Linked DNA regions of Pelodiscus sinensis. The protein of the gene in region 4 interacts with the protein of the main gene of each other region in a pairwise test. Links are inferred from orthologs where the notes say so. Each region holds a gene or a part of one and is shown on either strand. Other genes may lie near its edges. The genes, in order: ARHGAP12, ABL2, ARHGAP17 and TRIP10.

What was found.
Region 1: the proteins of TRIP10 (region 4) and ARHGAP12 interact in binary tests that used the Homo sapiens proteins (3 or more experiments, as listed by UniProt). The two-hybrid records come from large-scale screens. The link is inferred for Pelodiscus sinensis from reciprocal best matches to the Homo sapiens genes TRIP10 and ARHGAP12.
Region 2: the proteins of TRIP10 (region 4) and ABL2 interact in binary tests that used the Homo sapiens proteins (3 or more experiments, as listed by UniProt). The link is inferred for Pelodiscus sinensis from reciprocal best matches to the Homo sapiens genes TRIP10 and ABL2.
Region 3: the proteins of TRIP10 (region 4) and ARHGAP17 interact in binary tests that used the Homo sapiens proteins (3 or more experiments, as listed by UniProt). The link is inferred for Pelodiscus sinensis from reciprocal best matches to the Homo sapiens genes TRIP10 and ARHGAP17.

Annotation. Positions count from the first base shown.
Region 1 is NC_134712.1:229,556,155-229,563,370, reverse strand, and holds the start of ARHGAP12 (rho GTPase-activating protein 12), read left to right. Parts: upstream 1-4,207; 5' UTR 4,208-4,428; intron 4,429-7,216. UniProt on the Homo sapiens protein: GTPase activator for the Rho-type GTPases by converting them to an inactive GDP-bound state.
Region 2 is NC_134719.1:59,804,147-59,811,157, forward strand, and holds the start of ABL2 (tyrosine-protein kinase ABL2), read left to right. Parts: upstream 1-3,991; 5' UTR 3,992-4,184; coding exon 4,185-4,359; intron 4,360-7,011. UniProt on the Homo sapiens protein: Non-receptor tyrosine-protein kinase that plays an ABL1-overlapping role in key processes linked to cell growth and survival such as cytoskeleton remodeling in response to extracellular stimuli, cell motility and adhesion and receptor endocytosis.
Region 3 is NC_134726.1:38,940,703-38,948,167, forward strand, and holds the start of ARHGAP17 (rho GTPase-activating protein 17), read right to left. Parts: upstream 3,020-7,465; 5' UTR 2,873-3,019; coding exon 2,820-2,872; intron 1-2,819. UniProt on the Homo sapiens protein: Rho GTPase-activating protein involved in the maintenance of tight junction by regulating the activity of CDC42, thereby playing a central role in apical polarity of epithelial cells.
Region 4 is NC_134729.1:11,915,759-11,922,935, reverse strand, and holds the start of TRIP10 (cdc42-interacting protein 4), read left to right. Parts: upstream 1-4,167; 5' UTR 4,168-4,327; coding exon 4,328-4,435; intron 4,436-7,177. UniProt on the Homo sapiens protein: Required for translocation of GLUT4 to the plasma membrane in response to insulin signaling. Required to coordinate membrane tubulation with reorganization of the actin cytoskeleton during endocytosis.

The DNA.
Region 1 (7,216 bases), on a different chromosome or scaffold from region 4:
GGAAAAAGAACTGAGGAGAGTTTGCACTTTTTCAAAGGGACGTTATTAAGGGCCCAAAAGCAAGCTATTCTGCTGTGTAGGAAAAGTAGAAAGTATGACAAAAGACCACCTTAGCTTAATCAGGGGATCTGGCATGATCTCTGAATCAAAAAGAAGTCGTATTAAAAGTGAAAACGAGGACAAATTACAAAGGATGAGTATGCAGGGGAAGATTAGAAAGGCAAAGGCACAAAATGAGCTCAAACTAGCTAGAAACACGAAGGGTAACAAGAAGACATTCTATAAATATATTAGCAGCAAGAGGAAGACCAAGGACAGAGTAGGCCCATTGCTCAGTGAAGAGGGAGAAACAATTACAGGAAACTTGGAAATGGCAGAGATGAGTTCTTTGTTTAATGACTTCTTTGTTTCGGTCTTCACCAAGAAGTCTGATGATGAAGAAATACCTAATATAGTGAATGCTAGCAGGAAGGGGGTAGGTTTAGAAGATAAAATAAAAAAAGAACATGTTAAATATTACTTAGAAAAGTTAGTCTGCAAGTCACCAAAGTCTGATGAAATGCATACTAGAATACTCAAGGAGCTGATAGAGGAGGTAGCTGAGCCTTTAGCTATCATCTTTGAAAAATCATGGAAGATGGGAGAGATTCCACAAGATTGGAAAATGGCAAATATAGTGCCCATCTATAAAAGGGGAAATAAGAACTCCCCAGGAAACTACAGACCAGTCAGTTTAACTTCTGTGCCAGGAAAGATAATGGAGCAAGTAATTAAGAAAATCATCTGCAAACATCTTTTGGAAGAAAATAAGTTGCTAGGTAACAGGCAGCATGGATTTGTAAAGAACAAATCATGTCAAACCAATCTGATAGTTTTCTTTGATAAGATAACAAGTGTTGTGGATAAGGGAGAAGCGGTGGATGTGGTAAGGCATTTGATACTGTCTTGCATGATCTTCTAATCAATAAATTAGACAAATACAACTTAGATGGGGCTACTATAAGGTGGATGCATAACTGTCTGGATAACTGTTCTCAGAGAGTAGTTATGCCCTTCCAGCATGTTTGTGAACCATTAATAACAAGTGGGGTTCCGCAGGGGTCTGTTTTGGGACTGATTGGCATAGAGAGTATGCTTATTAAGTTTGCAGATGATACCAAGCAGGGAGGTGTTGCAACTACTTTGGAGGATAGGGTCATAATTCAAAATGATCTGGACAAACTGGAGAAATAGTCTGAGGTAAATAGGATAAAGTTTAAGAAGGACAAATGCAAAGTACTTCACTTAGGAAGGAACAATCAGTTTCTCATATACAAAATGGGAAGCGACTGTCCAGGAAGGAGTACTGTAGAAAGGCATCTAGAGGTCATAGTGGACCACAAGCTAAATGAGTCAACAGTGTGATACTGTCCCCCCCCCCAAAAGAAAAAATGATTATGGAATGCTTTAACAGGAGTGTTGTGAGCAACACTCTGCGCTACGCTAGAGAGGTTGTGGAATCTCCATCTCTGGAGATATCGAAGAGCAGGTTAGACAGACATCTATCAGGGATGGTGTAGGTCATTGTTTCTGAAAGTGTTCTGTGGAATCACTTTGTGAAACACATTAACTGGCCACCCCCATTTGTTATTCACCAGCACCGCAGCCATGGAGCCTCATGGCTCCCATTGGCGTCATTTCGTCCTTTGTAGCGAAGAGGAGCTGTGGGAAGCAGCGTGGGTCGGGCCACATCTTCCCACTGCTCTGCTTGGCTGCAAAGAGCGAAACAGAGCCCATGGGAGCCGTGAGGCTCCGTGGCTGCGGTGCCAGTAAATAAACAAATCGGGGTGGCCAGTTAATGTTTCTCAAAATGATTCCATGGAACACTTTCAGAAACACTGGTCTAGATGGTGCTATCTAGACTAGTACATTGTTCTAACATATTTTTGGCCCCATGCACACTGGGGGAATATCTATGCAGCAGCAATGAGCGTATTCCATAAGCCCTAGCTCTGTTCTAGTTAGGACAGTAAATACAGCAGTGTGGCTATAGTGGTGTTGGCAGTTGCTTGGGCTAGCCACCCCAGTACAAACCTGCATGATTGTATAGTTTGGAAAGGTCAGAGGGGTCGTTGCCTGCCCAAATAGCAAACCTTGGCAAAAAGCAGAATTTGTCCCTTCCTACATGGCCCTGGTGGTCTGATTAGAGCTGCCTGTCTTCTCCCCCTCATGCCCCCCCGCAACACACACATAAGTCAAATCATGCTTATGCCCAGACTCATGGTATGTCTACACTATGGAGTTATTTTTCAGAAAAACAGCCGTTTTTTAAAAAAAAAACTTCAATTACATCCACATTGCAATTGCGTTCTTTTGAAAGAAAATCAAAAGAACAGAGTTTTCTCCAACATTGGTAAACCTCTTTCTATGAGGAAGAAGCCTTTTTCCGAAAGAGCTCTTTTGGATAAAGGTATGTGTGGACGGGGAAGAGGGAGTTCTTTTGCAAGAAGAGGAAAGAGGAAAAAACACAGATGCCCTGGTGGCCATTCCACCCATAGTAATCACAGCTTACATGCGAGATAGCATCCAGACTGAATGGACACTATCTTTCGAAAAAGATCACTTTTTCGATGAGCTTTGGCAGTGCAGATGCTCTCTTTCAGAAGAAGTTTTTTCAGAAGATCTCTTCCGGAAAAACTTTTTCCGAAAGAAGCTTGCCATCTAGATATAGCCTCACTGAGTACATGCTGAGCCAGGAATCCAGTTGTGTTAGAATCCCATTTAGCTATAATCCAGTGGTGGACAACCTGCAGACCAGAAGCTGAACGTAGCCCATGTTGATTCTATGCATGGCCCACAAGACATTTTGTTTACCGTTGTCCACACACAGGGTTGTCCAATTCCACTGGCTTCTGTCTGTGTAGTTTTTTTTCCCCTACTGGTATTACTAAAGTGACACACTCATAAAAGGCATGTGAAGCAAGGTGTATGCTGACCGCACACAACATTTACTGAGAGAGCCATTCACTCTCTTGGCATCCAACCAAAGTGCTGCTATAGTTCAACTAGCACACCCAGCAAAATTCAAGTGCAGTTAGCAAAATTATCCTATCCCCGGAGACTGTATTGGTTATGACAATCTTGCAGTCCACTGAAGTGAAGGAGGCTCACTCACTAGCCTAAGTTGCTTATCACTACTATAATCAAATTCAAATTGTGTTTAAGTAAAATTTAAATTCATTTGTTTAACCAGTAAAGATAGAGTATGAATTTCATTTGCTTTCAGAGTTGCAAAGTCTGGACAACATACATGGCTATAATAGAGAAGAGAACAAAGAAAACTGTTCAGCAACACAAAGGATCAGAGAAGTAGACTTCAGTGAGGGCTTAAATTCCTAAAGAGTAAAAAAGATTTTATAAATATATTTAGAAAGCTAAGCTAGATTTGCAAATATTTATTCTCCTATGGCAACTTCTATGTCCAAAATTTACAACACAATTCAAATTCTTCCCATGAACTTTTGCAGCCTTGCCAGAAGTTAAGGGAGAGGAATTAACAATAAAAAGAACAACATAAATGGAATCAAGTCCTTTCTTTGTATACTTTCTTATTATAATTATTCCAGTTATGCCTCTTCTGCTCTCCCTTTATTAGATTTTTTTACTCACATCTGTTGCATCATTTTCTAAGTTAGACTTCAAGCTCTTCACAGGCTTTTGTGAAACATCCAGCACATTTCTGGGTGCTCATACAAATAATATTATTATTTAAGTCGGGTTAATTTAAAATTCTTTGACTTCTGTAGATTTTTATGAGTAATAAGGATTTAACCTACATTGTGATGTTTGTGAGTTCTGTAGCCTGTGGCAGTTCTCATTAAAGTTAAAATTAGCAGTGAAACAGAGGAAAAAAAATCTAAAATAAGATGCTTAACAATGCGTATCAGAATAAATAAGAGAGTAAGTCTTAGTAATCAAGCTCACAAAGCTTAGTGATTAAATTGACAAATTCTTAAAACACATGGGGGTGAAGTGACTAAAGTTGTTATAGCCACATGACGTTGTGTATGGAAAAAATAACCCCTCACGTCTATGTAGCATATGATAAAAATAGACCCATCTCCCCTTCCCACGCTGCTTCTCTCCGGCCTCCCTTCCCACAGAGCTCCTCTGTGACGTGCTCCCTCCTCTCCCCCCCACCCGCAGCTGCCTCAGCTCTGCTCCTCCCCCCATCTCCCTTCCCCACACAGCTTCTCCCTCTCCCCGTAGCCCCCTCCCCCCCAGGTGCCTCCTCCCTGGCCCGTCACCGCGCTTTCCCCCGTCCCTCCCCCGGCACGTGACGAGGGAGCGCTGACATTGCGCGAGCGCGAGGCGGAGACGGCGGCAGTGGTTGGCGGTGGCGGCGGCTGTGGCCGCGCTGAGGCGGGAGCGGACCCGGCGGCTACCCGGGTAAGGTGGCTGTAAGCAGGGGCCCAAGGCCTGGCGCCGGCCGGGGGGGCGGGCAGTGAAGGGGGCGGGGTCTCGGCGGGTGACCCTGTTGGCTCGCGGGAGGCTGCTGCTTCTGCCGCCGCCGCCGCCAGGGTCGCCCCCAAGCTGGCTGGGCCGGGAGGGGGTCTTGGCTGGTGCCCCGAGTCCCTTCCTGGAAGGAGCCTGAGTCCCTTTTGCCCTCCTCCCCCCCGCCGAGGGCGGGAGTCCTAGGGGAAGTTTCTTCCTGGCCCCTGGCAGGGGCTGGCTTGTGCCCGGAAGCGAGGAGGCTTGTGCTCGTCCTGCTCTGTATCCAGGGGCTGCTTCACCCCCGCTGGCCTGTTCGTACTCACCATAACTCCTGGGGTTGGCTGGGATGGGGGCGACAGTGGCACTGCTACCCCTGCCTTCTCTGTGCTCAGGGGCGCTGGAGCAGGTTTTATAGTTGGGGGTGCTGCGAGCCATTGAACCAAACTGTAAATCTGTATAATGGAAACCCCTTCAAGTCGGGGGGCTGGAGCCCCTGCCGCCCACCCGTGCTTCCAGTACCAATGCCTGTCCTGATAAGCAGGCTGCATAGCCCTGGGTATAAAGTTGACTGAGAACGACTTTCTCTCTTGTGTTGGAAATATGAAGTGGGGTGGGTGACTTTTTTGTTGTTGTTGTTGGTTGGTCATTGCACAGACTGCATGTTCGGTTTGTTTTTCAAAACCTTTGTGTATGTATATACTGCAGATGTGCCTGCTCACAAATTAGTTAACGGAGCTATGAATATGTCCTGTAATTTTGTTTTACCTGTTAAAATGAATCCTAAGGTTCAGATCAAAACTGCTTCAGTGCTAGTTGAGATGGTAGCCATTACTGTATTTCTCAGATGTCCATTTTGAATGTGGACTCTAACACACCCTAAAATGCTTAGAATGATTGTTTGTATAATTTAATCACTGTGTACAGACACAGATTTGCTCAGCTATTTATTGCTGGTCATTCTAATCAACAATATAACAATAGTGCATAGTGAAAGGCAAGGGGCTGCCTGCTTTAACATATACAGTTGGTGAAAAGTGGCTTTTAAAAGTTGCTTTGACAATGATTTAAAATATATCATGTATTCAGAAGTCTCTAAGATGAGCCAATAGACAGTTATCAGGAAATTATATTTTACTTATGCTTTTAATTTTTAAGCAAATATAAACATTTAGGGCAGACGGGCTCATTCTGCTTGGAAACTGCATTTGTCTCTTAATACTGATGATGGTTATGTTGGAGGAAGGGGTAAAGGTTTAAACCTTTTATTAATGGTCCTGAAAGTCCCTAATGTTCATGTGTGCTATTTGTGTTATATATATATATATGTTTGCTTGACATGATTTTACCTACAATTCTGCACAAATAACTGATGCTTGTTGTCAAGCAAAACTGTTCTGATGAAACTTCAGTATGTGAAATTCATTTCTAACAGCGCAGATGTGAGAGAAATTGTCTTCTAGAAAGTATGGACTTGAGGTACTCTCTGATGACATTAAAAAAAAGTAGCTCTTTGATATTGTAGAAATTTCTTCAAATTTTACTCCAAACTTGAATACTTATAAATTTGGAATATATTGTTGGCTTCTTTGTTGTTCTCCTTAGTCACTGAATGTACTGAAAAGCTTGAAAGAATGATTAGCTAACTTTTTTATTTTTGATCTTGAAAAATAAGAAAGTGTCTCAGAAAAATTTGAATAAAAGGTTAAATAACAAGAATTTCACAATGGTTTAAGTTTGTCCCCAAATAAGTATATCTTGGAACCATATTCAAGAAATGCTGTTGTAGCAAATGTTTTTGAGAAGTTGCAAGGACACACTTAAGGGGGGAAAAAACTACTATGTGGAGACAATTGAGTAAATTTTTTGTTTCATCTGGCATTCTGTTGGTAAGAATTTAGGACAAATGTTCTCAAATACAGTTTCTATGACTGACTGACTGGTTTGTGCTGCAACACTGTTAAAGTATTTGCTGTAGCTGTAGGGACTGATTCTTTTAATGAAATATGTATTGCAGAGGTGGTACAAGAACCAAACCATTGTTTTTGTGTGGCTCACATAAACAGTGGCTATTGTTTGCTTTTAGTTTTTAGTGGTTCAGTTAACCTTTTTGAGAAGTGAAATGTTTGAACTTCAGCTTTTTGTAAATTTAAAATGTCATACTAGTCTCTTAAAAATATTCTTAAAAGTCAAAGTAATTGTAAAACCATTTCTGATATTCTTCAAACACCCCTTGGAAAGGAGTCCAGTTTGTAGCTTAGAAATGCAGTGAATTGCTATGACAGCAGCCTGGCAGTCACAGGGGAAATCTTTGTTCTTTGTGCAGAGTAGTGCTGATATTTGAAGATGGGAAGTACTGTGAAATCTGGGGAAATAGCTGAGCTGCAGTACTTACTTGAGGCTTATCTGAAAGTTACACAGATTTTAACTAAAGGTGTAACTTAAAATTAGTTTAAACTCATGCTAGTCTGTAGTAGGAATGTTAAAATGTATGTAATTGGCTAACTGTAACTGCTGAAAATGGTTTTATGTGAGGTGGCTGCCAGCTCCCTGGCAGCTGATGTGATGCCAGAAGCCTGCTCTGGTGTGCACTGGATCCTGCACACACCCCCTCTCCGTGGGAAGCTGGCTGCTGCCTTGCACTGTATCAGAGGCAGCAGTGCGAGGAGGCATGTGGGAGCTGATATGCATGGGGATTCTGGCATCCAGGATCAGACTGCCACCCTGCACTGCTGCTTCTGTATCC
Region 2 (7,011 bases), on a different chromosome or scaffold from region 4:
AAGTGGCAGAAAAATAATTATAATTTAAGAATACTTATTCATATTCTCATTCTGGCTCTACTAGATTATTAAGAAGCTAATTGCCTCATCAACCCAGCACTTGCTACCCAAGTTACAGTGATACTATTAAGAAGCTAATTAGGCACAATATATTGCATGGTTTTCAAGTATTATATACATTTTATCTATCTATCTATCTATCTATCTATCTATCTATCTATCTATCTATCTATCTATCTATCTATAATAAAATAGTAAACACTTTGAAAATATATTAAATGGGCTGTTATCATCTCGATCTGACTCCATCTCAGTAAGAGGTTTCTGTGCTGTGGCTCCACGTCTTGTGGCATCAGCATATTACTTAACACAAGCTAGTTATGCAAAGATATCCTGTGATGTCATGAGATCTAAGGAATAAAAATTCTGTTTTAAACAAATAATGCTGGATACCCTTCTGGACCCCTCCTCCTCCAGAAATAAATCTCTCTCAACATTGGCATATTCTTTTAAAATACTAATAAACGTCCTTTGGAAAGTGCTCTGAGATCTATGAATGAGAGGCAGTAGGAAAGCTGTTATTGCTACTAATTTTAAAGTGGGGTTCTACTCTGAAATGTGACTCTGTAAATGTCAGTGTGGAGTTTTAATTTTTTTGACTTGCAACAATTCTCATAGCAAATGTGTTCAGTTTACAATTAAAAGATTTTTTTTAACTACCAGCCCTGCACATAGAAGATCTGAAAATAAACTTGATCTTTTTTCCCTTGTCACATGTGCCATCACCAATAAAAGATTCCACAGGCCAACAAATACCTGGACTGTCCTATTATCTTCAAATTCTGACCTCTTTTCTACCTGTGCAACCCTTTGGAAGCCAGAGTCAGTGACTGGATGTTGGTAAATAGAATCCAGCTCACTCGGTTATCTGTGTTGTCTCTTCATGCAAATTGAAGTAAAACATACATGTTATAATCTATATATCTATATATATCTTATTACTTTAGGCATATGTTTATCTCCCTCTGTATATAAAAAAAGTTTTTCCTGCCGTGCAACTGAATTACATCATCAGCCTACTTGAAAGTGAAGTCTCAGCGTCTCGCTTACTTCTGCTTCAACCAGAACCAACTGTGAAACTGAGATCTGTCTGTACATCTGTCTATAACATTTAGTATGTGAGCAATAGACCAATTAAGTTTTTCTATACATCTTCATTTGTTCACTTCTATATAATCAGTGCAAGTTTAATAGGCTCTCTGGAGTTGGCGAGCATAGCAAACATGGGGCACAGCCCCTCCCGTGTGTGTGTATAAAGCATATTCCAAAGGTTATAAGATTCATCTCCAGTAAACACACAAATAGGACCAGTTTGTTAAGTTAGAAAGTGCTTACATAGTCACTTTTTAAAATACCTGTACAACCACCTTTTAAGAAGCAAGAAGCACTGAAATAACATTTTAGGCAAAGATAAAATGAATTATTTTGCATCTTCATTTCAAAATTGCTCACTTCCAAATAGGAATGGGCTAAACTGATCTGAAAGATATTCAGATCTTTCCAGTGTAAGAGGTCCCAGACTTTTAAGTGATATAATTTAATTTTGAATTTGTTCTAAGTGAATCATAGAAACTATGACTGTAAGTTTAATATGAATAATAATTAACTGTGTCTTAATTTAGTGTAGATAGTCATATTTAGCTCTACTCAAGTTTCTTCTCTTGTGCCTATCAACATGGCATCTGGGTACTTTCCAGAAGTTGAAGTGATGTAATTAGCATCTCTCATGTGTGAATCTCTTTTCCTCCCTTCCCTGCTCCCCAGGAGGAAAATTGTGAGAATTATTTTTAAAAATGTTTTTCATTTATGTTTTGTAAATATTTAAGTGTGCCTACACTTGGAATGGAAAGTGCTGAAATTTTAAGTCATTCTTAGGTTTTACAGTGGTTCATTGCACAATCTTCAACCAGCCTCTAAGAAAATGCTTTCTCTTACATAAATGAGCTTTCCCCTTGTGCCTCCCATCCTGCCAGCTTTAGCCAAATGAAAAATAAAGGGGAACAGCAAAATTTGAAACAAAACCCCTCTTTCACAGTAGTCACTCCCTCTCCTCCTTTTGTGGGCTTTCCATATCTATTAGTTTCCATACTTTCAAATGCTTACAGTTTGTAACTGGAACATTACTTAATATATTTATGTAACCGCAACGCTTGTTGAAAATTTGTCCATTATATGCCTCAGTATAATTTTGTGCTTAATGTTAAGATGTCTGTTTTTATTAGTGATTATTTCTGTTAAGGTCATGATAGAAATGTAGCCGTGTTAGTCTGGGGTAGCTGAAGCAAAATGCAGGACAATGTAGCACTTTAAAGACTAACAAGATGGTTTATTAGATGATGAGCTTTCATGGGCCAGACCCACTTCCTGGGTCTGGCCCACGAAAGCTCATCATCTAATAAACCATCTTGTTAGTCTTTAAAGTGCTACATTGTCCTGCATTTTGCTTCTGTTAAGGTCATGGTGGGGAAATCACATTTAATTTCTCATATAATCAGGGTACGCTTTCTGGGTCAAACATATGCCAATTTGGAATTTTTAGACCTTTTGGGATATAATAAGTATTTGCATGACTACTAATGAAAATTACATTAAAATTGACCAAATGTTGAAAGGAAATGAAAAAGTAGAAGAGGACCCCCCCTTTGAGAGTGTAAGGGTATGTACATATTCTACAGCAGTATAACTGCGATCATGCCACTATAGTGTAGACACTTACTACAGTGATGGGCAGGGCTTTTCATTGCTTCTAAATAAATCCACTCCCTCAGAGGAGGTAGCTAGGATGAGGGAAGAATTCTTCTGTTGACCTAGCTGCATCTACAGTTGGGATTAGATTGACCTAACAGCATCACACAGAATATGACATTTCTCACAGCCCTGAGCGATGGAGCTAGCTTGACCTTCACTGTAGGTTTAGCCCAGGCCTAATATTATGAAATGATCCTATGGCATGCATGGTGAGCAGTATTTCATGTATCTCAGTCAGATTTCTACAGAACAAGGGAAGGGCTTGTGTTCACAAAGAGCATTTATGGGACAGGAGAGAAACAGGGTAGTGCTGTGGGGATAAATAACAGTAGGTAGTGGAGAACACCGAGCTGTCAAGCAGACAGTGGGGGATAGTCAGGATGACACTGTAGGTGGAGAATGGGTGGAAAGGCAAGAGGGGGGGATGGAAAAGGGGGTTAATTTAATCGGTGTGGGCTGGGGGTTCAGGGGACCCAGAGGAGGATGGCAGGGGATGGGCAGGTCGTTACTAGGCAGTCAGGGGATAGTGCAGGGTGGGAAAAGGGTTGGCAGGGGAAAGGAGAGATGGGGTGTCAGGGAGGAGGCGGGAGGGGTGTGTGGTTGCTGGGTGATGTCAGGGCAGAGGTAGGTGGGCTGGGCGTTGCTAGGTGACGTAGGGAGGGGCAGAGGTGTCAAGGAGGGGGCAGCGGAGGCTGGGTGATGTCAGGGCGGGGTCGGGCGTTGCTAGGTGACGTAGGGAGGGGCAGAGGTGTCAAGGAGGGGGCAGCGGAGGCTGGGTGATGTCAGGGCGGGGTCGGGCGTTGCTAGGCGACGTAGGGAGGGGCAGGGGTGTCAAGGAGGCGGCAGAGGAGGCTGGGTGATGTCAGGGCGGGGTCGAGCGTTGCTAGGCGACGTAGGGAGGGGCAGGGGTGTCAAGGAGGGGACAGAGGAGGCTGGGTGATGTCAGGGCGGGGCCGGGCGTTGCTAGGCGACATAGGGTGGGTAAGGGTGTCAAGGAGGGGGCAGAGGAGGCTGGGTGATGTCAGGGCGGGGCCGGGCGTTGCTAGGCGACGTAGGGCGGGGCAGGGGTGTCAAGGAGGGGGCAGAGGCGGCTGGGTGATGTCAGGGCGGGGCGGGGGGTGGAGCTGGCGGTGGCAGGACACCCTTGGAGGACCGGAGGTGGGTCTCTAGGAGCCGCTCTGTCCCCTCTCCCGCAGCTCTGTGGTTAAGATGGCGGCGGGGGCTGAGGGGGCGAGTCCGTGAGTCCCAGGCCGGAGCGCGGCGGGCTGGGGCGGGCAGCCCTGTGGGGAGCCCCGGGCCGCGGGCGCAGGAGGCCACCGGCAGCGGAGGCGGCATGTGAGTGAGGGCTGGCGGGGGCCCAGGACGGCAGCGCGGGGATGGGCCAGCAGGTGGGCCGCGTCGGGGAGCCGGGAGCCGGGCTCCAGCAGCAGCCGCCGCCGCCTCAGCAGCCCCGGGGAGCGCGGGGGAGCAGCGCGCCCAGGCCCGCGGGCCGCAAGCGGGAGGCGGCCGGGCGCGCGGCGGAGAGCGGCTTCAATATCTTCACCCAGCACGGTAAGGAGGGCGGGGGCAGCCGCTGGGCACGGGGCGCCCCGGGGGACCGCCGGGGCAGGGTTTGCCGGGGAAACGAGAGGAGGGGCCGGGGGGAAGGCACCGCGGCTGCGGAGGGACAGTCGGGGGCAGCCGCACCCCGCCCCTCCCCCATCGCTGCCTGCGAGGGCACGTGTGGGGGGCAGCCCCATGCACCCCCTTTCCCCATCGCTGCCTGCGGTGGCGTGCGGCCTGTGGGGGGAGGGGACTGGCGCGGCTCCCCGAACGGTTTCTGCCAGAGCGGGGATGGGGAGGCACGTAGGGTCGGGGTGGAGGGTACATCCAGGGCTCTATGTGCCTGCACAATCAGATTCCCTGGAAGGCGAGCGATGAGAGGATGCTTCCCTTCTGAAGTCCACCACCTACAAAGCTCTTATTGCTACAGAAACTTCCACCCATTTGCCTAGCTGCTGTGTCAGAGGGCAGTGATTTTTTTTTTGCTGTTTCCTTATCGGTAAGGAGGTGGCTTATGGAGACAAATATGAATAAAAAATAGACACAGAGCGAAGTACGCTATCTACCTTTGCAACACCTCTGTGAACTTCTTTGGGATGAGCCCCACATAGTCAGACCTTTGTCTGTTCCAGGGGATAAGTACTGAACACGTTTCTGACTTAGTCTTGCCCTTTATTGCTGACATGGCTTTCTCATTACTAAGGATCTATGGAGCAGGCTGTTTTGTTCTTGGCATGGCTGTAATAGTCGGTACATCAGCTGACTTAGCGAAGTCCAAATTTGCCCCCTCCTTTCACTTTACAGTAATAAAAATACTGACTATGAAAGTGAGGTTACAGGGGGGGAAAAAAGATCCTCTTAAAAAGCCAACCGTCTCAAATACTGTACCTTTATAATTTTTCTGTGCCTTTTTTGTCCATTATAATACACTGGAAGGTTGAAAAATATGGTAAACAAAGTAAGAGTGCAAGGAGCTGAAGTGTAATGGTGGTGCTTTTTGTTGTTGTTTTAATTTGAAGACCTGAATTTGCTACTGAGAGCATTATCGATTTTTATTTCAGCTAAAGCAATCATGTTCCAGTGTTCATGTGGCAAAACTGCTTCTGACAACTTAGCTCTTTCTGAGCCCAACAGAGAGTGCATATGCATTAAGATACTGGACTGCTGCTGGTTACATGTTTTTAATGTAAAGTCATCCCCTATGACAGCTGACTTGCACAGCTTAGTAAATCAGTGATACCTACCACGTGGCAGAGACAGTGTGTAACCTTCAATATAAATTCACTTTCTAAATATACATCATGTATTGATAAGATTCTAAACAGTTTATGAACTTCAGGACATTGTCAACTTAAAAAAAAAAAAAGTAGCTTCTTTCCACAAGTCTGCTGCTGTTGCTGAAGGTTAAATTCAATAAAAAAGATTAGAGAGGAAAATATTCAGTTGGATCTTGTATTGACCCAGTGCCAGTGTATAGTCAGTTTCACTATTTCCTCTGTACAGTTAATTAGTTTTCCTTATTTGCGTGGGTCTTTCACACACCATCAAAAGAGAAATTATTAAAAGTAGGAAAATTACTGCAAACCCTGAAATTGACAGGGAGACTTGGGGGCAGGTGTAGTTAAAAATACCAATGCTTCAATTTCATGCTGAAACCAAAAATCTTTATTTCCCTGGTAGAGCTGTTATGAAAGACTGATGTCACAGTCTAAGTTATCCCTTTAATAACAAAGTACCTCTCCTTGGTGTTTTGGTAGCAAAGAAGGATAGTGATAACTTTGTAAAGTATAAGAGGCAGTGCTGGTCATAGAAAGCAAATTCACAGGAAGTACAGTATATTATACTAGATAACTAGAAGATTACCCAGTGCCAGTGTTGCTGGGGTCTTTAACTCAATTAATTTTGTTCAGCTAAATCTGGGGTGGGGCTGGGAATGGGGGGTTCAGGCTGCATTAGGGGGAGTGGACAGCCCTCTCACTGCAGCAGTGTGGAGCCAGGTGAGAAGTGCCTGTCCATGGCCACTTCAGCTGGGGGAGGTCCAGGTCTGCCCCCTGTGCTCCCCAGACACATTGAGGAATGCAACAAACTGTGCACTTCTCCCTGGCTCCCAATGAAGGAGAACATCCAGTAACGTTCCTGTATGAATGGGGGGATCCCAGCAGGGAGCTGGGCACCCAGGCTGCTGGATTCAATGCGAGTTGGGACCAAGCAGTCCCAGCTCGCTGCTCCTCTGCATTTTAAATGTCGTGACTTTTATTACATTTAAAATGCAGAGCAGCAGCATGGGTGGCTTTGCAGCTGGCTGCTGGAGCTACCTCTGCTGCGGTTCTGCACAGTAGCGCTTATTCACTAATCTTATAGTTGATACAAATTGTATTGACTATACGATTAGCCAGATAATTGTGTTTTAACGTCCTTAGTATATTGCATTAGGAACTAAAGGCCATACCTAAGTTTACGGTCCTGTTGTGCTAGGTTACATACACTGAGTAAAAGAGTTCATGCCCCAGAAAACTTGCCTGAACTGCCAGAAGGGGGAGAAAGGAAAGAGATCTTTCTGCTGTTGTGGAGTTGAGCCACAAGTTATGTCCCCTGTCACTCCTCTGCCCAGCATCAGTTCCTGCTCTCCCAGGCTCTGACACTGATGTCTTACAGAACTAA
Region 3 (7,465 bases), on a different chromosome or scaffold from region 4:
GTTCTAGGGATGTGGCTGGTTCACTGGCCACCTGCAACACTGTGGGCGAGGGCACTCCTGTCCAGCCAGCCTCTTGTGGGAGAGGAGGCAGCTCCAGCCTGGCCAGAGCAACTTCCCTCCCACCCAAGCGGTTAACTGGTTAAAGATAACATGTAACTGATTTTACATGCCTACATTTTTCTATTAACTGTACAAACACTAGATATGATGTCTACCCCCAAAGAGCAAATACCTTAAGATGAGATGTAAGATGAAGATTGGGGCAGGAAAGCAAGAGCATGGAAGGGGTTTGAAATAATTTATTAAAACAAAATCTTGAGATAAGTACCAGCTATCACTGTCTCCCCCTCAAGCCATCATTAGTTGACATTTCTTATTTGTTTCATGTAGAAGTGGATTGCCAAGAGAGCACACATCTCTTACAGGTTACTGAGAGTGCAAACAAAAGTTGAACCTTATTCCAGACCAAACTTTTAGCTCCAAACCCCCCCCACAATTCAAACAAGACATAATTTACTCTAAACACTACAAATATATTTTAGAAGAACCCTAAATCACATTTCAGTATGTACAGATGACACCAAATTATGCTTAAGTACATGAATATTGCTTTACAATAAGCAGCAACTAGGCCCAAGACCTTCCAAAAGATCTGAGACAACAAAACAAAACTCTAAAGCTATGTCTACACTGACGGGTTGTTACGCCAAAAGTATGCAAATGAGGCTAAGTATGGAATATCGCTGAGCCTCATTTGTATACCCAATGAACCGCCATTTTGCGGAAGAGGCTCTTACGCTAGAAGGAGCTGTCTACACTGCCCCTTCTTGCGCAAGAAAAACCCTCTTGCACAATGCCCCTATGCTGATTATTTTCAGGAATAATGGCATTGCACAAGAGGGTTTTTCTTGTGCAAGAAGGGGCAGCGTAGACAGCTCCTTCTAGAGCAAGAGCCTCTTCCGCAAAATGGCGGCTCATTAGGTATGCAAATGAGGCTTGGTGATATTCCACGCTTAGCCTCATGTGCATACTTTAGGTGCAACAACCCGCCAGTGTAGACATAGCCTAAGTTAGTGGCACTTTGGTTGCTACAAAGGCCTGACTTCTCTGCCAAAGACTACCCCTTATTTATGCAATCTGAGTTTTGCTGAAAAATATCAATCTTAGAATTACTACAGAGAGATTATAAATAAAATTTAGCAAAATTATAGGAAATGGAAGTGAGAAAGTTAAAATATGAACAGGAAGTGTACAATGCAAATCATTTTGTAGGAACTTTGTGTAGCCCAACTTACAAATCAAAGAACTGTACTGCCACAGTTACAGCCAATCCAAGTGGTAAAACAGTCCTTGCCTTTTTGCATCAGTATAACATACCTTCAACAGATTAAAAGTTTTTGCTTTCTTGTTCAAATTATATTACTGAAAAGCAATATATTGATAGGCCAAACACATATGAGAAGCAACATTTTACACAAGTTTTAAACTCACAACACACTAGAGATGTCAACATTTAATTACATGAAGGAAATATTTGATCTTCTGCACATTTTTCTGCTTTGGCTAACAAATATAAACAATCGCACAAATCCCTGAAGTGACACTCTATATGTGAAAGTCCTCGATAACATGATACAGAGTAACATAAATATCAGGATTTTTACATGCCTAATTTCATGAAGTAGCATTTCCAAAGCCACTTTCTGTATTGACATAGGAGGATAATGGTAGACAGATTGACTCTCTCTAGTCCAGCAACATCCATGGTCCAGCATGATTTTAGTTAGCTGGGTGGCCATTTATCACAGCTTTGGCCAAGTTTCCTAAAGTAAGTCTCAAAGTTTTTTACAGCCCCCAAACTTGGCGTTCGGTACTGTTCTTTAGCTCTAATTTACCCCTAAACGTCTTCTAAGACCCTATCAAGCAGTGGAAGGGTCGGTAATGCTGCCGGACTATACTGGCCTCCCATGGTTCAGCAAATCCTCTGGCTCAGCACTGGTCAGATCCCGAGGATCTCCAGACTAGAGAGAGTCAATCTTTATTGATTTGGAAAGCAGCAGATAAAAGTCTTAAGTGGTGGCCAGAAGAAACGAAGTTCCTGAAGTTACTAGAGTAGTGCAACCTCACAAAACACTGTCCTTACAAGGAAACAGACACAGCCTGTCCATGAAGTGGAGGGGAGCTGTCTGGTGTAGTTGCTTTGTGGATCTGTCCTCTTCCATACATTTCACCAGGCCAAGTTCTAACAGCCGCCCCCCCCCCTCACCTCGCGGGGCAGGGGGCGGACCCCGCCAGCCCCCCCCTCACCTCGCGGGGCGGGGGGCGGACCCCGCCAGCCCCCCCCCTCACCTCGCGGGGCGGGGGGCGGACCCCGCCAGCCCCCCCCCTCACCTCGCGGGGCGGGGGGCGGACCCCGCCAGCCCCCCCCCTCACCTCGCGGGGCGGGGGGCGGACCCCGCCAGCCCCCCCCCCCTCACCTCGCGGGGCAGGGGGCGGACCCCGCCAGCCCCCCCCCCCCTCACCTCGCGGGGCAGGGGGCGGACCCCGCCAGCCCCCCCCCCCTCACCTCGCGGGGCAGGGGGCGGACCCCGCCAGCCCCCCCCCCCTCACCTCGCGGGGCAGGGGGCGGACCCCGCCAGCCCCCCCCCCCCTCACCTCGCGGGGCAGGGGGCGGACCCCGCCAGCCCCCCCCCTCACCTCACGGGGCAGGGGGCGGACCCCGCCAGCCCCCCCCCTCACCTCACGGGGCAGGGGGCGGACCCCGCCAGCCCCCCCCCTCACCTCGCGGGGCAGGGGGCGGACCCCCCCGCGGCTCGTACCTGCCCACGGTCTGGTTGGCCAGCAGCCGCATGCGGTTGAACTGCTTCTTCATGGCGGCGGCTCCGGTCTCCGCCTCCGGGGGACCCGCTGCGGCCGCGCCCGGCGCCTCCCTGCTCCAGCGGCAGCGCGAGCCCGGAGCGCCGCGCTCAGCTCGCACCCCAGCCGGCCTCCCCCCCCGCCGGAAGTCACCGCCACTTCCGGCTCCGCCTTCCCCGGCTGGCGCGGGTCACGTGGGTGCTCGCGTCACGGGAGAGGCTCGCTTGCGGCGAGTGGGGGGGGGGGGACAACAACATCCGGGCTCTGAGACGCGGAACTGGCGGGAGGTCACGTGGTGGGGTCTGCGGGCTGGGCAGTGATGGGGGAGGGGCGCAGCTAACGCCACGTGCCCCAGAGGGAATCCTCACGTGACCCCTCCCCTGTGGCCTAGTCCCAGCCCCTGACAGACGGGGGGGGGGGGGGGCCACTCCCCCCCCCGCCATGGGGCCTGCCCCCAGGAATGGCTCCAGCTCCCCTTCCTGGGAGGGGTCAGTGGGGCGCTCTGTGGTCCCCAGGCTGGGCCCCGGGGCGCTGGGGCGGGAGCGTCCCGCGGATGCAGCCGCCTCGTGTCGCCGAGCGTCCGTCTGCGGCGCCTGGTGCGGGGCGGTTGCCGCGTCGTTCGTCCGGTGCTCCGGGGCCGGAGGTCGCCCACGGGAATGTTTGGATTGGCCTGGTGGTCCGTGGACTGAAACGAGTCGAGAACCACGGGATTAGCCGCTGTGGGAAGGCAGGGCCCTGGGACAGCAATGTTCCCTCCCGACTCCCTCCTTTCATGTGCGGAATACATTTTATGTGCACTGAGGCACGTGTGCATGTGCACAACCCATGAAGCCGGCGTGGGTGCTCTGCTAATCAGCTGGACAGCATTTGAATCCTCGGTGGCCTCCCAACCGCTCAGCTTACAGGGAACACTGGGCAAGATGGACCTTTATTCTGATCCAGAATAGCCATTCTTATGTTCTTCATAACAAGGGCATTGTTTGCTGCTTTTTGCAGCAATCACAAAAAAATAATGGACATTCCATGTACTAAGGGACTGTTGGCAAGGTTAAGTAGTAGCTTTTAGCAGGGTGCAGTAATGCTTATGGCAGAAAGTGATTGTGTCCTATGCCTAGGTAGAATTCAGTGAGGCCAAACGTGATTACTCATCTCTGTTGGAGTTTGCCCAGGACACTAGGGCTCAAGATCTGCCAGAAGTACAATCTTTATTATACTTTAAACAAGTATTTACCAGCTTATTTTACCCCCTAATTTTGCACCACTCTCTTCAGTATTTGCTTTAACAAACCAAATGCATTCGCTTTAGTACTGACTCAGAGGGAAGCCTGCGAGCTACTATGAAACATCAATATCACAACTTACTGCATAGTGGGTTCCTTTCCTGTGTCATCTTTTGGTAAGAATCTGTATTAAAAAATAGAAAAGTAAATAGAAATCTGTTGTAATAACCTGCTTTTACAGCAGTATTCCTCTATGGCTCTCAAAAACATTTCAGGTGTTCAACAGACATTGATGAAATCCTATGAAGCAAGTGAATATCTCCACTTTACAGATCAGGGCAGACAGCAAGACCCACAACCAGAAATATACCCATAAATACTGCTTGTTCTCCAAGCCATCCTGTCGTTTAGCCACAAAACCAGTGTTCTCTTAGGTGACATTAGTATTATTATTAGTGTTATAGTAGTGTTTAGAGGCACCACCTGAGACCAGGGCACCATTCTACTGGTTATTTTAGTAAGAGAGTCCCTGAAGGGTTTAGAAAATCTAACAAAGAAACACAAAAGCGAGTGCCCTGTCCACTAGGCCACTCCAGATCTCATCCCACCTCCCTACCTTCAGGACATCCCTTATCCTGCCTTCCTAATATCACTGTCTGCTCCATCCCTGGGAAAACTGGTGTCAGGGTGGGGGGGGACCTCAAAGAGAAAGAGTGGGAAGTGGGTTGCTCAAGGTTACCCTGCAGGTCAGGAGCAATACTGGAGTGAACCTAGTCTCCTGATTCCCATCCTAGTGTCTTATTTACTTTTGCTTCCCAAATATAAAGTGAATTGTGAACAGGTAGGTAGTTTTTTTTAAATTTAGGGTGTGTCTAGACTACATGGCTCCCTTGACGGAGCCGTGTAGATGAGCTTGCTAGACATAGCAAAATGAAGCGAGGCATAAAGGATCTGACGAGGCATAAAGGATCTGACGACAAAGGGTTCTGGGGTCGGCTGATACCCGTCTAGACTACCGTGCTGTGCCGACAATCAGCTGATCGGCACAGCATGGCAGCCATTTTGATGTAAATGAAGCAGCGATTATTTAAATTGCTGCTTCATTTTGCTATGTCTAGTAAACTCATCTACATGGTTCCATCGACGGAGCCATGTAGTCTAGACACACCCTTAGAGACTGCATTATCCCCCTGCAGGAAACAAAGAAATCCCAGTGATGTGCAATGCAGATAGATTCCCAGCACAGTCACTCGTAATCAGTGGAAACTACTTGTGTACTGTGTGAGAACCATGCCGTAAAAAGGATTCTGGAACATAAAAGCTTTAGTGGGATCAGCTCTGGAATGTATCCGGCCATGCTGATGACTAAAAGTTTGCAAAATTGAAAACAATTTGAGAAAACTGATTTTTCCTCTCTTGTGAGCTGGCTTCTGGAGGATGAAGCTGGTCAGTCCTATTTATTAAACATTATTATTTAATTTGTATATTGTGGTAGTGTCTGTAGGCCTTCCAGGTCACACTCCCCTGTGCGAGATATGCTACAGACATATTGAAAAGGATAGATATTGCTCCAAAGAGTATTCAGTCTGAAAGACCCACAAGTTACTGTGTCTATGCTGCAGCATGCTGGTAACCTCAGCCTGCAGGGACAGGACTTTCCTGCTGGTGGTTTCCCTGAAGCAGGGGTCGGCAATCTTTTCATGCCAAAGTGCCAAACTACATCAACATTCAGAACAAGTGGTCAAAGAGCCGTATAAAAATGCCAATTTGCATGACTGAAAATATACAACTTAATAATACTAATTATTTACATGATGATTAATAATAGCATAAAAGAAACATTGTACTCAAGGACTTTATTTAATGGGACTTCTGCTGCTGCATCTTTTCACGCATTTCTTTGAAGTTTATGTCATAACAGGTCAAATTCAGCTTCTTGCACACATTCAGACTGTCTTCTGTCAATATTGAACAGAAATTACTTTTGATGTGATTCAAACTAGAGAAAGTATGCTCACACATATAAGTGGAGCCAAGCATTGAAAGTAAGGCCAAGCTGACATTCTGCATGGTGTAGTATGTGACAGGAAGTTATTTCCAAGTATGTAGAATCAGATCATCATTGTGCTCCAATTTCTTTGTGTCAGCTCATTTTTGTCAATTCTGCACGTTGTTGAGCAAGGCATTCTAAATCACAATTCAGCTTGGTGATTTTTTTCCACCCAGATATCCAATTCCTCAGAATCTGCTATTTTCATTTCCAAATCTCTGATTGAGATGCCTGAAATGACTATCAAATCTAGTTCTTCAACAGACACTTTATATGGACAACTCATAAACTTAAACAGAGCACTGTGTTTGCAAAAGTCAACAAAACAAGTCTTGAATGCCATCAGGAGCTCAGAACAAAGCTGGCAAGCTGCTGCAAATCAAGGCTGTGATTTGGATTCTTTCTCTCATACGAATCACAAAACATTCATAATCTTTCAAAATGTGCCAATCTGCCCGTCTCGATATCTTTGATGAAGACAGTCAATTTTGACTCATATCCAAACACTAGCTATTGCAGAGTCATGATTGTATTTCCTTGCCCTTCTAGTTTAAAGTTCAACTCATTCAAATTACTGGTAACGTTGACGAGATAATAAAACCTGAGCAACCAGTCACTGTCTGAAAGCTCAGTGTGTTTGACACCCTTCATATCCAAAAATGACTTAATCTCCTTAATGCAGGTGGCAAAATGAGACAAAACTTTGCATTAATGATTAACCAGTGAGCATTGTGCATTAATAGATTGGGGTATTTGGAATCTATTTCCTTGAGCAGTGACTGAATTTGACAGTCATTCAGGGCTTGGGCAAGAATCCAATTGACAATGCAAATGACCAGTCCCATTACATTTCCGAGTTCAATTCCACAAGATTGCACACAAAGTGCCTCTTGCTGCACAATACAATGAAAGTTCTAAAGTGGGCGATTCAGATGTTCTGACAAAAGAGTAAGGAATCTCCTGTATTTGCTGACCATGCGAAGTGCACCGGCTGTACACGCAGACACAAGCTTATCCAATTGTATTTCTTTCTCGTTTATAATGTTCATCACTGGTAATATTGGTAATATCTCAATAATTTCTTTGTACACAGAATTTCCATTAATATATCATCCCAAAATACACAACCAATTAACATCACATCTATTGATGGTCTTGTCCAAAGCAAATGAAAAATAAGTTGCTGTATTGAAATTTTGCATTTGTTCCTTGTTGATTTGATGGGCCAATTTCACAGCTCTGTCATTAACTGGTTTTATTGATAATGGCACATCTTGAATTCTCTGTAAGATTTTGTCCTTGTTGTGAAACTCATGAAATAATTCATGACCAATTTTTA
Region 4 (7,177 bases):
GGCAGCCTTGTGGGAGGGCTGACAATGGCCGAGCCCCTGGGCACGGTAGGTGTGCGTGTGTGACGGCATGTTCCTAGAAGGGGCGGGGCTTGGGCGGAAGGGGCGGGGCTTGGATGGAAGGGGTGGGGTTTGGGGTAGTTGGCTCTTAGCACTACTTGGAGTGCACCTTGTTCCCCAGCCTCCTGCCAGGCCTCAGAGCTGCCCAGAGCATGCCACGTGGTGCTCTGGCGGCGATTTAAAGGGGCCAGGACTCTGGCTGCCATGGCCCCCTCATTGGTGGGGGCTGCAAAGCCTGGGGGAGGTGGGCGGGGAAGGAGGATGGACTAAGAAGAAGGGTAGCCTAGTGGGTAAGTCACTGGGGTGAGAGAGACCAGGCGTCAGTTATTGGCTCTGCTGCCTACTGCGTGACCGTGGGCAAGTCACGTCATGGCTCCATGCCTCAGTTTCCCAGCTGTAAGATAAGGGCTCTTCCTTTGGGCCCTTTTGAGCAGCTCTTTAGAGCAGGCACTTTCCCGCTAGGTGTGCTCACAGCGGGGCCTTGATCGAAGCCAGGTGCTACTGTTATGTACTACTAAGAGGTAGTCTGCCTGAGGAAATTGACCGGCTTAGCTAATCTGGATAACCGTCCCATGTGGACGCAATTCTTTCGGAAGAGCAGGAACTCAGAACATCCACAGCCAACCTCATTCTGGGGTAACTCCCCTGTGCAGCTGAGTCCTACCCAATAGCGTGTTGGCACAGGATAGTTTGGGGCAGCTCCCTTCCCGCCGGTCTGTGCTTTGGGGGACCCTGTGGCAGTCCTATGGATGGGCCTGGCACAGGGTGGCAGCAGGAGTCACTGCCCCCTCGCCAGAGCAGCCCAGCAGCCTCCTCTGCCCCACCCCGCCACCCTCCCCTCGCCCGCTGCGCTTGGCTTTTCTGAGGCAGCAGGAAGCAGAAGGCCCCAACCTCAGCGTACTTGACTCCTCGCCGCTGCTGAGAAGCGAGGCGCAGTGGGGCGGCAGGACGATGTGGTGGCAGGGTGGGGTGGAGCAGTGGGAATGCCCTAGGCTACCCCCCACCTCCCCGGACGGCCCTCCAGGTTTGTGCTGGAAGCTGGGGTCGCCCGGCAGGGTGGTGTGCCAGTCCGGAGCCAGGTCATGGCACCAACGCTCTCCCACGCTGGGCTGCAAACCCGTCCAGCCAGGCCACTTGCCAGAGGCTCGTACCAGTGCTGGGTCGCGCCCTCCCCTCCCTCCCCCTCCGGGCTAATAGCAATTTTGCTCTGGCTACGCCGGCACAGCTGGCATCAGGGCTACTCCCTGAGGTGGCCAAAGTAGGGATGTTAAATTTAAATTAATCAACTAGTCGAAGTCTATCGACTATTCGATTGGTAGATAAGAGCGCCTCTGCCTTTGAACTGTAGGAAGAGCCTCTTGCTACAGTTCGAAAGCCCCGCGCTCTCTGCCACTCCTGAGCCTTTGAAATATACATTTCAAAAGTCGAATTGCGGCAGAACCGGCACGCGGAGACTGCAAAGGGAACCATCATTGTGATTCTCCCACCTGCTTCTTTCAGGGCTGCTTTGGGCTGCCTGAGGGCCATAAGAGACCCAGTGTAAACCAGGCTCTGGCCCTGCCATGAGGCGTTTCCCCAAATGATGATGGGAGAGGAGGAAGCTGGGGTCACTTCAGGTGGCTGCAGTCTGAATGAGCAATTAGAGCAACTCCTGCAGGTCTCAGCTTCCAGGTTCCAGCCAGGCAGGATCAGGTTTCAAGCAACTTTTAGATTTTATTTTTAGTGTTGTGCGATGCTGCTTTTGCATTGGCTTCTCCAAATCTTGGTGGACCCCAGTTGTGCCTGCCTGCTCAAACGTCTCTCTGATCCCCTGGCTCTGAGTTTGTCTGCTCAGAAACGTTTGAAGTTTGACATGTCGCAATGTTTCTCTCCCCCCCCCCCCCTCCCCCTTTTGGCTTCTTGCTTTCAGTTCTTAAATCTTCTGTACACAAGATCAGTCCCGTCCTGAAGTCTGGGCTGTCTTATCTCTGGTCAGAAATCTTGAAAGTCATTTACAGGGAGTGGTAAAGGAACCTTTTTGGCTGTCTTTTAATATTAGTCAGTGGTGCTTGGATGAGGGTTCTCAAAGTGAAACGGATAACTCTGAAGGGAAGCAGAAATCAGTAGCGGTCGGAGGAGGGGAAAGACCGAGAATTGGGCCCATGGGCGAGTGTGGTTTTATTCAACGAGTCCGACTCAAGAGTTCTGTCCTCCAGCTGTGTTGTAGTCTTGCAGCATGATCTTGGGCGAGTCATTTAATCTTTCCAGCACCTGTACAACAACGTGAGCTTCGAGACGTCATAAGTGACTAAACCCGAATCTCTGACTTAAAATCCAGTTTCTTACAGCTCTGGTTTGCATTCACTCAGCCTGCAGATTGAAGCTGGGTTAGTCAATTTCACTGCTGTTACTAGTCTGTTTCACTTCCTGGTGAGCAGTGCCTGCTGGGCACTTATATGCATTGGTTGCAGACAATGCATGGAAAGAACTCTTTTCCACACACACTCACACACGGTCACAAAAGTTCCCTCTAATCTGTTCCATCCATGTGCGGATTTTTTTTCCCATTCAGGTGTGGAATAATTTTTTTCATGTGCTCTGGGGCACCATCAGTAGAAACAAAAACTTTGCTGCTGACATGCTGCTGGGCAGCCTTTGATTCTCTCCTGAGCAGTTACACAAGCTGTCAGGGAACAATGGTCACAAAACCATTTAATTTCTGCTAAATTGCCGTGAAATCTTTAAACGTAGTTAGCAATGTTGGATCTCCACAGCTTAGATGTTTCCCTTTGTAAGGGAGGTCTTGAAAGGGGTCAGATGGCAAGCCAATCATTGGAAGGGTGCCACCCCCCATTACACACAGCTGACCTGTGGAACTCCTTGCTATAAGATAATTAGCTACAACCTCAGCAGGATTTTTAAAAGGTATGGATGAAAGCATCCTGGCTTATAATAAAACAAAAAGCAACCCCCCAAAATGTAGGCAGGGCCATGAATCCTTCTGCCTTAGGATGGCTATAAACTCTTCAGAGAGCAGGGTAACGTGGAGTCTGCCTTGGGCGTCACTCCCTCTCCCCTTCTCATCCGCACACAGTCCTCTCGCCCGAGTGTGAGGGTGCTGTCACCCCAGGCTTGCTGGCTTGCCTGATGGCACCTCTTTCACTTGGGCTAGATTGCAGCAGTGCAGTGTGACACAGGCTAAAAATCACACCAGTGCTGCAGGTCTGAAGGTGCTGCCCCACAATTCCCCTCTGTGCCCTGGAGGACAGATGGATTTTCCCTTCTTTTTGCTGGGGGGGGGAAATCCTGGAGCATGCTGCAGAGACAATGGGGCGCGCCCCCAGGTGAAAGCAGTAATGGTGACTCATTGCTGTCGGGCTGTTCGCGCCTGCCCTGGCTGCTCCGCTCCTGATGCTGATCGCTCTGCATTGAAGACACCCCCTTAATCTTGGGGCCAGGCTCTTCTTGGCCAGTCGCTAGGCTCCCCATACCTGAGGGGTTTCTTGTGTCTCCCTCTAACGCATCGAGTGCTGCTGCAGAGACCGGGGTTTAGGGTTCGACCGATTGTTGCTTTTATCCAGCCTGGTGATTCCGATCTTCTTTTCCTCAAAGAGGCCATTGCAAATGTTAACCCAACCATCTCCTCGTCCAGGTGCTCGCTCGCTCCTCCCTCCTGTTTACTGTGGTTGTGCAATCAGTTGGGGGGGGCGTGTGTGTGTGTGTGTAAAGAATCTCTCTTCCCATTGCTGTGTAAGACACCTGCAGGGGAAAACTGGTGAAACTAACCAGAGTCGAGCTGAAAACAGGCCACCGGGTTTATTGCATATACCCGAGAGCCTGGTCTTTTTTTTCCTCATTGATTTGTATCATAGTAGCATTTGGAGATGAGAACCCCTAGCAGGCTTCTGCCGGCAGAGCTGTGTCCGCCCAGGCTGTGATCCGTGGCCAACAGCTAGGCTGGCAGAAGCCCCAAGTGTGGGTGCAGCTATTTTGGGAAAACTGGCACAGCTTGTTTCACGCGGGGTGGATCCAAGGCTGATATTGCTGCATCCACAGGAGCAGGGCTCTGCTTGTGAGGCGTGCCAATTTCCTAGTGTAGCTACTGCCTAAGAGAGCTCCAAACAGCTTCCATGCTAAGTCAAAAGGGAAGGGAGACTGAGGCCTGGTCAGAAGATGCCAAGGTCAGAGGCAAGCCTGGGTATTAGGAATGTAAAATCCTGGTCAATCAGTAAACCTAAGGTTTAACTGGTTCACTGACTAAGCAAGATCCGGGCAGGGGACTGCACCCAGCATGTGGGGCTCCTACCCCCAGCGCCTGTGCTGGGGCTTGCTGCCGGCTCCCGGCCCCTGTCCGCAGCAAGCTGGAGGCTGCTCCAGACCCCACTGGTTACTGGAACAGGTAAGCCTCCCCCTTTCCACATCCTTCCTGGGAATAGAACCCAGGAGTCCTGACTCTCTCATCTTATCTACCTGACCCATGTTGCCTTGGAACTAAACCTCTCTTCCCAGCTCCATCTGTCCTTCCCCAAGGGCAGACGGACCCTCTCCCCCTCCAGTCCAAGGTGCACACCCTCCAAGCGTGGGACGTTTCTCCATCCTCCCCTCCACCCTGCCATGGTGCCCCAAGGCCTGCGCTCCTTGGCCACCCGGTGCTAGGCAGAGGCAGAGGTTTGTGGCTCCATAGAGCGGTGTCAATGGCTGTAACGCAACAGCGGGAAGCGAATTGTCCCCAGCGTGAGCCGCCAAAACTCTGGCACGGCGGGGAGCTGATCTATAAGGACCCGAAGGAGCGGTGGCTTTCCAGACCTGAGCTGCCCTCCAGCCAGATGAATGGGGCGTCTTGGGGAACCCCTCAGTGGCTTCTGCTCTAATGAACCAGTCCCCTCCTTGTAAGGGCCGTTCCCACCTGGGGGAAACTTCCCCGTCTTGGAGCAGAGCCGTGGAGGCCTTGTCGGCAGTGGGGATTTGCCCCACTTCTACGGCCCTTGGTGTCCAGGCCCTCGTAAAGCTGCACCAAGCAAGGGGTTGGTATCCGGATTCTCAGTGCTTTGGGGCAGGGTCTGTCTCTCGCTGTGCCGGGCGCTGCACAGACACAATGGGGCCCTGGCCTCTGTTGTTCCTTAGACACTATTGTAAGAAATATGATGAGCCCCCCCGCCCCCAATCAAATTCAGGGTCCTTTCATATTTGATGCTGCAGAAACAGTCACCTAGGAGCTCACAATCGGACAGAGGGCAGGAGAGGAAACTGAGGCACCAAGAAGGGAAGTGAATTGGCAAGCAGCATGTCAGTAGTCGAGTTGAGAACAGAATCTGTCTCCTGACTCCTAATCCAGTGCCATAACCACTAGGCCCCACTGCTGGTAGACCACGTAAGCTGTCCTAAACTGAGCTTTGCAGCACTTCACTTCGGTCAAAAATCTGCTTTGCCTGTGTGCGCAGATGCCACGTGCATGTCGGTCTCCCTAGGCGGAAAAGGGCTTTTGGGGCGGGAACTCCTCAAAGCTTCAGCACCTGCTGCTTCCGGGGAGACAGTAAAAACGAGGCTGCCCATGTAATCGCCCGGCTTGGAGCTGCAGAAAAAATGTGGCAGCCAGGTCCCTTTAAAGAGCCCTCCTGGTGCAGTAATAGGATGTGTGTTCAGCGCCCCTAATCTCATTATTGGGCTTTAACTGTTGTTTAACCTTGGTGTGCTGATTTTTTAAGTGGCAGCCTTAAGGTGCTGCATGGCCTCCCGCCCCTGGGTAACAGCCATTAAAAGGGCTTTGGGATGGGAGGAGGAGAGATGGGGTGTCCTGTCTGAAGCAGCATTAAAAATAGCACCAGGCTTAGCAGTGCTGCATCATTCTCAAATGACGCCCCCTCCCCTCTGACACTGTTCTTGGCTGCACGGGGGAGAGAAAACGGTCATGAAAATCCCCAGCCAAAATCCCACCTCTGGATGATTTAAACCCTGACTCCTTGTTCCTTTCTCTGCAGATGAGCTGGGGGATTTCCCTGCTTGTTTTAAAATCCCCTGCAGGACGGCTTTTGGCTGCTCACCCCTGGTTAGCGCTTCCCTGGGAGACTGTGTTAGCGGGATTGGGGGAGGTAGCGGCCCCCTGACATTGACACACAGAGCCGTAGCCCCAAAATCCACTGCAGTGAGGGGTGTCAATCTGATGATGCTTTGTGTGGGGACACAAGTCATAATTCCTCTTCTTCCCCCCCCCCCCAGCAGTTGTAAAATCAACACTAAAATTAGCATCTCGCAAGCCACTTAACTTCTTTACATGATCCAGCTTGTCACAGTCAGAGGGGTGCTAACGTTTATATAGAAACCCCCCACTTTGTCTTGTCTCTTTCTCCACTCCAGAGTTCCCTAGGCTCCCAGGGTTCCAAGTGGTCCCTTATTTTCCCAGGAAAGGAACCAACTCTCTTTCCCACTCAAGTAGCCTGTGGAACTCATGGCCACAAGCTTTCACAGAAGCCAGATGCATAGGAGAGGAGAGTTTTAGAAAGCTTGTTCTGGAGATAACTGTTGGGTTTAGGTGCAAGCTTTCCATGGGGGCGAGTTGTCCCCTCGCTCAGGGGTAAGGCTGTGCTTCTGTCAGGTCTGGTTGCAGGGTGTCTAGCTGGAGCGAGTTTTAATCCAGCGGGGGTACGATGTATGGTGCAGCTGTGACTGCACGTGCTCAGCTGCTTCAGTGCAAACTTCTCAGGGAACCTCTGTATAGACCAGGGATGTAAGTGACTAGTTGGCTGTCTGATAACCTAGGCTTATTGGGTAGTCGAGTCATTACTCAACTAGTCGCTCCCCCCTTGCTGCCTCGGTATCAGAGGCAGCAAGGGGGGGAGGAGCAGGCTTAGAATGGGGGAAATGGCATGAGCCAGGCGGCTCTTACCATATTTAAAAAGCAGAGCCACAGCGAACCCCCTTATCGACTACATAAGGATATAAGAATGGCCAGACTGGGTAAAACCAAAGGTCCATCTAGCCCAATATCCTGTGTGCCAACAGTGGCCAATGCCAGGTACCCCAGAGAGGGAACACAACTGGTAATCCTCACGTGATCCCTCCCCTGTCACTCATTTCCAGAGAAACAAAGGTTAGGGACACCATCCCTACCCATCCTGGCTAATAGATGATCCATGAATCTATC